Linked DNA regions of Xenopus tropicalis. The protein of the gene in region 2 interacts with the protein of the main gene of each other region in a pairwise test. Links are inferred from orthologs where the notes say so. Each region holds a gene or a part of one and is shown on either strand. Other genes may lie near its edges.

The links.
Region 1: the proteins of nckipsd (region 2) and stac interact in binary tests that used the Homo sapiens proteins (3 or more experiments, as listed by UniProt). The link is inferred for Xenopus tropicalis from reciprocal best matches to the Homo sapiens genes NCKIPSD and STAC.
Region 3: the proteins of nckipsd (region 2) and nck2 interact in binary tests that used the Homo sapiens proteins (3 or more experiments, as listed by UniProt). The two-hybrid records come from large-scale screens. The link is inferred for Xenopus tropicalis from reciprocal best matches to the Homo sapiens genes NCKIPSD and NCK2.

What each region holds. Positions count from the first base shown.
Region 1 is NC_030682.2:60,578,209-60,581,776, forward strand, and holds part of stac (SH3 and cysteine-rich domain-containing protein), read left to right. Parts: intron 1-2,404; coding exon 2,405-2,687; intron 2,688-3,568. UniProt on the Homo sapiens protein: Promotes expression of the ion channel CACNA1H at the cell membrane, and thereby contributes to the regulation of channel activity.
Region 2 is NC_030680.2:136,184,270-136,188,573, forward strand, and holds the start of nckipsd (NCK-interacting protein with SH3 domain), read right to left. Parts: upstream 2,835-4,304; 5' UTR 2,746-2,834; coding exon 2,575-2,745; intron 1-2,574. UniProt on the Homo sapiens protein: Has an important role in stress fiber formation induced by active diaphanous protein homolog 1 (DRF1). Induces microspike formation, in vivo. In vitro, stimulates N-WASP-induced ARP2/3 complex activation in the absence of CDC42.
Region 3 is NC_030678.2:110,097,520-110,101,087, forward strand, and holds part of nck2 (cytoplasmic protein NCK2), read right to left. Parts: intron 519-3,568; 5' UTR 503-518; coding exon 277-502; intron 1-276. UniProt on the Homo sapiens protein: Adapter protein which associates with tyrosine-phosphorylated growth factor receptors or their cellular substrates. Maintains low levels of EIF2S1 phosphorylation by promoting its dephosphorylation by PP1.

The DNA.
Region 1 (3,568 bases), on a different chromosome or scaffold from region 2:
GTTCAGTCATCGGCACTCACCAGAACATAAGTGAAGCGCCGGGTGCACATCAATTCTCATATTCACCTTCAGAAAGCGGCACTCACGGCATAAAGTCCAACCATAGATACTTTATTAGACCTTCATATCTACGCGTTTCGATCCGCTGGGGATCCCCAGTATCTATGGTTGGACTTTATGCCGTGAGTGCCGTTTTCTGAAGGTGTATATATATATACCGTATATACTCGAGTATAAGCCGATCTGAATATAAGCTGAGGTACCTAATTTTACCTAAGAAAACTGGAAAAATGTATTGACTCGAGTATAAGCCCCTCAATGGTGCAGCATGAAAAGCATCCATATACCGGTATACAAAATCTTTAATCCCATAACTAAATATGGCATTTCTGTATTCTTTAAATACAGTAAATTACTGTTCTGGATGTCACTTCAATGAATAGAAGGAGTAGAAGGATTTAATTGGCCTGCACAGAGCGCTGACTTCAAGCTAAACTTGATGAATTGGTACACCAATGCGAGTAAGGCCTGATCACCCAATAGCAGTGCCTCTTATGAATGAATGGAAGCAAATTAATCAAAAAATTTCCAACATCTAGTGAAAAGCAGCAGAGGGTAAAAGGCTGTTTTAGCAACAGAGAAAGAGACAACTTCACATTAATAACCCTGATTCTTTAAAAAACATTTTGGACAGGCAGATATCCACATACTGTGTCATATACTATAGTATATTAATTACAATAATAATTGAAAGTCTATTTAAAGCCTTATTAGCTTTGTGTACATGTAAAATAAATACTTGCAAATCCAACAAAAACACGTTTTACATACAGTATTTCCACACAGCAATTTCAATAAGCAGCACACAAATGTTATCCTAACTATCCAGTGTGGAGTAATGGAAAAAGGCTCCGGTTAGAGGGAGGTGCCACGGTGCTGCTCTTGTGTCACTTACTGTGCTCTGCTAGGCTGTTCTGCTGCCGTTGTCCTGCGAACGGTGCTACAGGTGTCCTTGGGGAGGTCCAGGGAGGGGGGGCTCAGGATGTGCTCCTCATGGCCGCGCCGCTCAATGTGCAGCCGCGCGATGCACATAATGTAGCGAGCACGCCGCGTCCACATTCTGCTTAAGGCCGGCCACGGGGGAAGTCCAGGGAGGGGGGGCTCAGGGTTGCTCCTCCTGTGCTCCACTGTGCCCCTATGTCCCTGCGCATAATGTCACGCGCACGCCGCTACATGCTGCTGAAGGCCGGCCGTATTGCATGTAGTTTGAGTGCAATTACCGTATATACCCGAGTATAAGCCGATATTTACTTTTTAAGCACATTTTTAGGGATGAAAAACTCGGCTTATACTCGAGTATATACGGTATATATATATATAATATGCAGCAGAAGCCGGCACTCATGTGTAAAGCTGATAAATGTGCCTGGGTGCAGTCCCAACAAAATGTTTGCAGATGCTTGGAAAAAGGTACCGCTCACACAGGTCTTAGGATCAGGTTTAAAGTTTTTATTGTAGAGGCAAGGGAACTGACGTTTCGGCTGCAACACCAGCCTTTGTCAAAGTTACAGCAAAAAAATCCAGTAGCACACTGAAGATGCAAGCCGTGAAAAAATTGTATTTTATTTGCCCAAGTACATATAAACAAGCAAAGAGCAAAGAGCAACTTTGTAACTTTGACAAAGGCTGGTGTTGCAGCCGAAACATCAGTTCCCTTGCCTCTACAATAAAAACTTTAAACCTGATCCTAAGACCTGTGTGAGCAGTACCTTTTTCCAAGCATCTGTATATATATATATATATATATAGTAAAATTACCTTTAAGTACAACTGTTAAGTTAATCGCCTTAATTGTTCATTGTGGATGAATAGAAACTGTCATTGATTATAATTTATGATGTTTATATATTTATGTCACAAACATGTTCTTGTGAAGCTGGTCTATCGCTCAAAATGATAGAAGCAATAGAAGTAAGCAGGGAAGCATATAAAGACATTTCCTGTTTCAGTAAATTAAGGTTAATTTTCCATTCTATTTGGCCCTTACACAGCCATAATTAATGCATAAGTGAAGTTATTTTTGTTCCAATGGTTTCAGTTACAAACCTGACGAAGGTTCCTGTGGGAAACAGTAACGCTGGAGCAAAGAATCCTCACTTTTAGGCATTAGTCATAATTCCTGAGTGCCGTCAATTTGGTCAGTTCTAAACAGGCACCCAAGTGACACTGTGTTTTTGCTTTGTGACCCAAACTGGATATTAGATAGATTGATAGATAGAAGATAGATAAATTATTGATAGATAGATAGATAGTTAACAGATATTGAAATTTAATCACAAATGAATCAAATGTATTGTGCATAAACATAAACACAGTTTCAGACAGTACTTGTGTTTCCTTACAGCTGCAGAAGCTTAAGAAATCCCTTTCATTCAAGACCAAGAGTATCCGAAGTAAAAGCGCAGAAAACTTTTTTCAAAGGACTAACAGTGACATGAAACTCCAAGTTGACCTGGAGCCAGAAATAAACCCAATTGGTAGCAACCAGATTCTACCATCTGAGAGCCCATCCTCTACTCCAACCAAAGCTACTGTGCAGCCAGCATCCAATAGCAAGTCCCATGCTTTTCAAGAACATATATTCAAAAAGCCCACATTCTGTGATGTATGCAACCACATGATTGTAGGTAAGGTTTATATACTAGGGGGACATTTCTAGATTAAGAGCATTGTTATCACAGTGATACAGGTAATTACCAAGTGTTGGATTTAATTATTTTGTCATGAAAGAATCTTAAATGTTGAAGGAACACTGGGTTTGGTTCATGTGTTTATTAGGTCTGTATTTAGGAAATGTCATACATTTCTATATCAAGAATCCAGTGCTTATTGTCTGAGGATTTTTATTAATCATGGGACCCTGGTCATTTGCTTGTTCCTTGTATGTTCATGTACTTCAGATTAAGGTTTGTCTTTTGTAACTACATCATTCTAAATTTCACTGAGAATAGACCTATCATAGTTTTTATTCATGTTTTTGTATGAAGATTTAGCAACAGTATTTCTGGACTGGATAATTGGATCTAAGCTACTAGATGTGTTGATTTTGATGCTGTATGTCTTAATACTAGCCCTAAGGTTTCTTAAACCTCAAGAGAACGTAAGACACACATGACTGGCTCTCATTTGGATTTCTCACAGTGCCAGAGGATTATATTGCATTCAGATCGTGCTAATTATGTGTACAATATAGTAGAAAATCATCATTTCTTTGCAGTATGTCCTGTCTTCTGTTTTCTTTTCTTCTTTTAACCAGTGTATGCCTACTGTGATCTGGGGCAGATAGCAGTCTAAACAAAATAATTGATTTGCGTTCCAGTAGACAAATATAAGGGGTCATTTACTACTTGAAGGGTAGGGAGCAAAGTAAAAAAAACATGGCAGATTTGCCCATGGCCCCTTATATCTCCAGGTGGCAGAATTGCCTCAGGTCAATCTCTTGGTAGCAATGACAATCTCTTGGTAGCAATGTATTCATAAAGGGAGAGCAGGGGGAGGTGCGTTTCTG
Region 2 (4,304 bases):
TGAATAGGAGAGGGCCTGAATAGAAAGATAAGTAATATAAAGTAACAATAACATTGCAGCCTCACAGAGCAATAGGTTTTTGGCTGCTGGGGGTCAGTGACCCCCATTTGAAAGCTGGAAATGATCAGAAGAGGAAGTCAAAAACAATTAATAAATAAAAACTGAAGACCAATTCAGTATGAGACCAACTACTCCTAATTGGGAACCAATTGCTGTGAAGCCACAAGATACCACCGTGCTGTAGCACCGCCACGCTCACCTACCAGCCTGCCCATATATATGCCCAATACTTACTAAGCCTGTGCTTCTCAAACTATGGTACCAGCAGCAGCCATTATATGGTTACAGAATCCCTCACTGACTTCTAATATCCTTATACTATAATGGGGGGGACATTATTCACTATATAACACACAAGAGTCATAAAGATCCAGTTGAAGATATCCTTATACACTGTGGAAAGACTACTTTGTGAGGAAGGAAGGAATCAGTGTTGCACAGGGAACACTTCACCCAAGCACAGATTTTATATGGCTTTCTCTACTTTCACGCAAGACTCCATTGTGCCAATAATGTCCCTTGAGGAGTGACAGTGACAGCGCATCAGATTGGGGGCTGCTAATAGGAGCGGCCAGACTGTGCATTTACTTTCCCCACTACTTCTCTCTGTATTATCCTACTCACACCAACAGCCCTGGGCTCAGCCATTCATCCTCTTCATGGCCCAGTAAGTACCCAATGCAGGCTAATAGCCCTCACAGCATAGACATATATATATTAATTATCTGGTGAATTTGGTACATTATTTATGTCTAAACTGACAGTTGGAGGGGGCAGTTGGGCATTCCATGTATTGATTCTGGTATTGTGTGTGACCAGTGAGTAAACATAATGGGAATGTACCATTGGGTAGCATATGACGGGGGCAACACAGTGAGTGATAACTGGGGGGCAATAATGAAAGCTCTATTTGTTTGCTTTCCTATCTGGTTAAACCCTAAGGCTGCCAGTGCCTTTATGCCAAGGCTACAGCTTTGGGCATAATTACAGGGTATTTTTTGTTACTAAAGGCTGCAATGTGCCCTCTGACCATTTACACTCCCTAAGGGAGCGGAGTGCAGCTTACCCCATGGAAAACAGTGGGGCTTTAATCCCTGACAGCTCTGCAACTCTCAGCCATGGCACTGAGCCAAACAGGCACCGACCCATACAGGCACCGACCCGCACAGGCACCGACCCGCACAGGCACCGACCCGACCCCACAGGCACCGACCCGACCCCACAGGCACCGACCCGACCCCACAGGCACCGACCCGGCACCGACCCGACCCCACAGGCACCGACCCGCACAGGCACCGACCCGCACAGGCACCGACCCGACCCCACAGGCACCGACCCGACCCCACAGGCACCGACCCGACCCCACAGGCACCGACCCGCACAGGCACCGACCCGACCCCACAGGCACCGACCCGACCCCACAGGCACCGACCCGACCCCACAGGCACCGACCCGACCCCACAGGCACCGACCCGACCCCACAGGCACCGACCCGACCCCACAGGCACCGACCCGACCCCCACAGGCACCGACCCCCACAGGCACCGACCCGCACAGGCACCGACCCGCACAGGCACTGCCAGGCCCCAAGCTGCTCTGCAGAGGTTTGAAGCTGCCATAGAGGAGCAGAGCCCTGGCAGGGAGTGAGACTGGCATGATGGTTACACAGCGCTATATACAGGCACTAACAGATACAGGCTGACAGCTCTGCTCCCCAAGATGTTCTGCAGCAGTGTGGGGCTGCTCTAAACCAATAGGCTGCGGACACAGTGGGCGGGACATGTTGGGGTTCTGGGTTACAGGCTCTAGTGTTGGGGTCAGGCTCTAGAGTTGGGGTTCTGGGTTACAGGCTCTAGTGTTGGGGTTCTGGGGTACAGGCGCTAGTGTTGGGGTTCCGGGGTACAGGCTCTAGTGTTGGGGTTCTGGGGTACAGGCTCTAGTGTTGGGGTTCTGGGGTACAGGCGCTAGTGTTGGGGTTCCGGGGTACAGGCTCTAGTGTTGGGGTTCTGGGGTACAGGCTCTAGTGTTGGGGTTCTGGGGTACAGGCGCTAGTGTTGGGGTTCCGGGGTACAGGCTCTAGTGTTGGGGTTCCGGGGTACAGGCTCTAGTGTTGGGGTTCTGGGGTACAGGCTCTAGAGTTGGGGTTCTGGGTTACAGGCTCTAGTGTTGGGGTTCTGGGGTACAGGCGCTAGTGTTGGGGTTCCGGGGTACAGGCTCTAGTGTTGGGGTTCCGGGGTACAGGCTCTAGTGTTGGGGTTCTGGGGTACAGGCTCTAGTGTTGGGGTTCTGGGGTACAGGCGCTAGTGTTGGGGTTCTGGGGTACAGGCTCTAGTGTTGGGGTTCTGGGGTACAGGCTCTAGTGTTGGGGTTCCGGGGTACAGGCTCTAGTGTTGGGGTTCTGGGGTACAGGCTCTAGTGTTAGGGTTTTGGGGTACAGGCTCTAGTGTTGGGGTTCTGGGGTACAGGCCCTAGTGTTGGATGCTGGGAGATGTAGTTCTGCATTCACTGCCTTACCTGGATCCTCTCCAAATAAGAAGCCGGCACATACCCCGTCTCCCCGCTGCTGCAGCGACTCGCCAGCCACCAGTGCTGATTGGACCTCTCCAGGATCAGGAAGCTCTCTCCGGCTCCGAACAGCAGCGAGTTGGGCTCCGGGGAGCGGAAAGCGTACAGGGCTCGGTACATTGCGTTCCTATTGCTTCCAAGTCTCAGCAGCGGAACTGTCTCACCGGACCGGGCCAATCGCAACTAAAGCGCGTACTCGTGCCAAGGCCGGTCACGTGATCTCCAGTCGGGGCCGCGCACTGTGCGGGGAAAGCCCAGGAGCAGCCCCGCCCCTGCTCAGGTCATGTGACCTACAAGCGCGACCGGCGCTTCTTTTTTTCACCAAACTTTATTGTTCGTCTGACACTGAATACATACACACTGTTGTCTGAGGGAAGCAGCGATATCCATGCACCGCCATAGCACACACCGGCTTGTTAGCGTGCAGAGAGCGCCACCCCGAGTCCATTCCGCTGCCTTACACACCGGGTTTTAGTAAATAATTCCCGAAAATATCCGAATGTGCTGAAATTCTTTACAATGAATGAATTCAACAGAATTGTTTCATCCGCCCAACAATAAGTGTTGTAAACCAGTATAGGGAGCGCAAAGGTTACCAGTAAAACAGTCACATGATCGTCAAAAAAATGGATATTCAGAATGACTGAGATAAAGATCCGTATGTGACTGAAAAACACCGCGTCCCTGGGTGGGCTCGAACCACCAACCTTTCGGTTAACAGCCGAACGCGCTAACCGATTGCGCCACAGAGACGGTGCAGCCCTGTTACATTAGGCTCCCTATTGGATTTCTCACACACAGGCTTTCCGTATCCTTCCGCCGCGGCGCTGCGCTCACTAACACCGACTCCCACACAAACCGCTTACATATTCTCTACCAATCAGAATAGCGTTACCGGATACATTTAGTTACGTCATAACAGACACCGGTGCCCGGTACCGACACGGCAGCCGAAATAGCTCAGTTGGGAGAGCGTTAGACTGAAGATCTAAAGGTCCCTGGTTCGATCCCGGGTTTCGGCAGAAGCTGGCTGCACTTTTTGTTTTAAAGCCTCATATAAGCGCAGGGCTGAAGGTGCAAGCAACTTGCTTTATTTATAGATATTAGTGCAAAAAAAAACCCCACAATGTAATATATATAGTTACATAGTTACATAGGGTTGAAAAAAGACCATTGTCCATCAAGTTCAACCCATCCGAGTAAACCCAGCACCCACACCCTATACTAACCAATCTATACACTCACATACATAAACTATATATATACAAACATTAATACTAACTGTAGATATTAGTATCACAATAGCCTTGGATATTCTGATTGATCAAGAACTCATCCAGGCCCCTCTTATAGGCACTAACAGAATCTGCCATTACCCCATCTATATGAAAAGCTTAATGCAATGTACAAAGAAGAGCGGGCTGCGCACTTTTACATTGAGTTGTTTATATAAAGGGGAAATATGCTAGACATTCACATTATTTTTCTTGGTCAGTAGCCGTAGGGCCGCTGGTTGATTTGCACCCATCCTGCCAAAGTGTAGCTATGGCTCCATGTAATGAAGCAGCGCCCCCTAGAGGCCAAACAGCAAAGCAAAATAGTTAATGAAATGGCAGCTTGGGTGTTTAAATGAGACATAGGATAGATGAATAGATATCTAATCTTGTAGGCAGTTATGA
Region 3 (3,568 bases), on a different chromosome or scaffold from region 2:
CTATGGTTTTATTTGTAAATGTAATTGCTATCAAAAGTAGTATTTCCTTATCTCTTTCAGTCATTCCTCCTGCAAATCTGTTCATCAGCTGGATATTGCTTCAGAACCAGAAACATATTTGCAATTACACTTAAAATTACTTTAAAACCATTAAAAATGTTTAACTCATGTGAAAGTTGCTTACAATTATATTTTTCATTATGCAAAAGGTTTTGGGTAGACATCTCCCTTTAAATACTGCTGTGTTAAAATTTACATTAAAATGTAGAAACCTACCCAGAGTGTCCTTTAAATTTTTAACAAGAGATCCTTTTTTTAAGCTGTTCTTCCTCTCCACGTAGTTTGATGGCACGTATCCAGTTTTGTTGGCAGTGTTTCTTACCCTCCACCAGGTTTTGGAGTCATCAAGTAGCCACAGGCGTTCATTTTTTCTAATATCAAGTTCTTGGTCCTGTTGTGCCGTATAATCCCACTTGGCAATAACAATGACTTCCTCTGTCATCTTTCATGGAGTCAATCTGCCAATAAAGACAATAAACATTTTATTACAGTATTAAAGTGCTATATAACTACAACCAATACTTAATAAAAGACTTTGTACAATGTACAAAGTACATTGTAATAAGTATTAAAAACGGTTTAATGAATGGTAATGTTAGTGATGCCAAATTTCTTTTAAAAATATTGTTAAAGGGTAAGTAAACATTTTATTCAAAGTTCTACACTTCCCGTTTAAATGTACATGTCTCATACTGAGTACTGTAAGAATTTGCATTCACGGCAAACCTATTATTATCCTTTATTTATATGCAGCCACAACTTATAAGTACTTTACAGAGATTATTCATCATTGACAGCCCCCGATGTTCAGTTGGATCAGTTTTAGTAGTAAGTTCCCAAGTGTAAATCAAACTTAGGACCTCAAAGCAGCAAGGCAGGAGTTCCAAGATCTAAGCCACCATGCAGGTCTATGACTAAATACGCCTAAATACTATAAATATTTAGATAAAACCTATAATATGTCATTAAAGGAGAAGGAAAGTTTCACTCACTGGGGAAGCGGGTATCAGGTAATGACTTACCTGATACCTCAGGCTAGTGCCCCCTTACTCTTCATTGAGCTTTATGGAGCAATTCTTTTCCTGCTTATTCTTTCTTGGTGCAAGTGCACATGTGCAGTAGTGTAAGAAGTACAACTCTACTATGCATGGTCAGCCCCGGGGGAATGAATAAAGAAGCAGTGGAAGAAGAGGAACGCTCTGTGGTGCTTGTTGAGAAGTACCCCAAGCTGGTGCAGTTTTCTGCTAACAGGAGCAATGACCCAGGGTATCGGGTAAGTGATTACAATCACTGGGAGGGTACCTAACATTTGGTACCCCCAGTGCACAGAGGCGTTCCTTTGTAAAAGAAAACTTGTCTCTAATAATAGTTAGGCTCAATAGTTAACTACCATTATAATCATAATTAACCTTTTTTTCAAAGTATGTACAGTATTTATGATCCATCCAAACCTCACCTTGTTGAGATTTGCTGAACAGCAATAAACCGGTGTCAAAGTACCCTAGACATTGCATAAGCTTTTGATCTAAAGGTTTTTTCAAACACTAAGTTAGAATTAAGGTCATTTCAGACTGTGCATTATTAAAAGAGAGTGTGTCTAGACTGCTATAATGATGTGTTAGTTAAGCCATATTGAATCTACTCTAAATTAGGCTCTGCTAAATAAAATATGATCAGCAAAAAGTACACAGCTTTGTCTTTTGGTAAAAAAAAAATGATTTTAACATTTGTAGCTTTTGGCAAATCTGTTGTACAGGTATGGGATCCATTATCTGAAAAGCAGTCATCCAGAAATCTCTAAATTACAGGAAGACCATCTTTCATAGAATTCATTATGTGTTCCTATCTTATTATAAACTCCTTATAGCTTTAGAATCATTAAGAAATATGCATTTAAATACACTAAGGGGGTATATTTATAACATTGTGCATAATGACTGTCCACAGATAAGGGGTATGAAATGTAGAGGACCATAAAACCAGCATGGACATAGTTCTGTACACAAATACTTAAACATATTTTACATTTAAAACCTGCTACAATAAACAGGTATAGGACCTGTTATCCAGAATGCTCGGGACCAAGGGTATTCCGGATAAGGGGTCATTCCGTAATTTGGATCTCTATACCTTAAGCCTACTAAGAAATCAATAAAACATTAATTAAACCCAATATGATTATTTTACATCCAGTAAGGATTAATTATATCTTAGTTGGGATCAAATACAAAGCACAGTTTTATTTTTACAGAGAAAAAGGAAAATCAATTTTAAAAATCTGAATTATTTGATTAAAATGGGGTCTATGGGAGACAGGCTTTCCGTAATTCGGAGCTTTCTGGATATCGGGTTTCTGGATAAGGGATCCCATACCTGTATACCCACATTCAAAGTACAACTTTGCAATTATGCAGATATTGACATGGTGTACCATAGCACTAGAGTGGAGATGCTTAATGTATTCTAAAGCTTCTTTATACACAAACCCTTTAAATATAACCTTAATTACATATATTTTTAAGCATTTTTATTCTGGTACAGGACCTGTTATCTAGAATGTTTAGGACCTAGGTCTTTCTGGTTAAGGGATCTTTTTTTAATTTGCATCACAAAATACATTAAACCATTAAATAAACCCCATAGGATGGTTTTGCCTCCAATAAGGATAAAGTTTTTCTTAGTTGGGATCAAGTACAAAGTACTGTTTTATTATAACAGAGAAAAAGAGAACCATTTTTAACAAACTGAATTATTTGCTTAAAATTAGGTCTATGGCTATGGAGATGGCCTACCATTAATTCAGCGCTTTCTGGATAATGGGTTTCCAGATAACGGATCCAATACCTGCAGCAGAAGCTATGAAATATCTTACTGCTTTCCCCTATATTTTTCTTTTCCTTTTATTTACACAGCACTAACATGTTATGCAAAACATTACATTGTTAGTTATTCACTCTAGTGCCTGCTCCAGTGAAACTAAGGGCAAGAACCAACGGAGCGGCGGTGGAGTCGCCTGTGATAGATTTCTGCTATCGCAGGCGACAAACTGTCCCTGAAAAAAGGCTTTCCACCAGCAACAACAGCAGTCCTGGTCGAAAGCCCTTTTGCATCGCTTCTTTATCCGAACTCCTGCGAAGTTGCCAGCAGGAGGAAACTTTGCGCAACTTCTGATTATCTAAGTCAGTGCTGTCCAACTTCTGTGGTACCAAGGGCTGGAATTTTTCTTGCCTACATGGTGGAGGGCTGATAATGGAAGCCAGTTTTGACCACTCCCCTTTTTTAAACCACACCCACTTCAAACTGCACCCATGCTATCACAAGAGCTTTTAAGACCATCCCCACATTAATGGTGGCAACACAGCAAAAACCCAATGGTTGGTGCTCACTGAAGGGATATCACCCTTAATTTATATATGAAAGAATTATATTATGTCATACACTTAAATCGATATGCCTCCTCCTCTTATGTGGATAGCACAGCAACCCCCCAGCATATAATTACACCCCT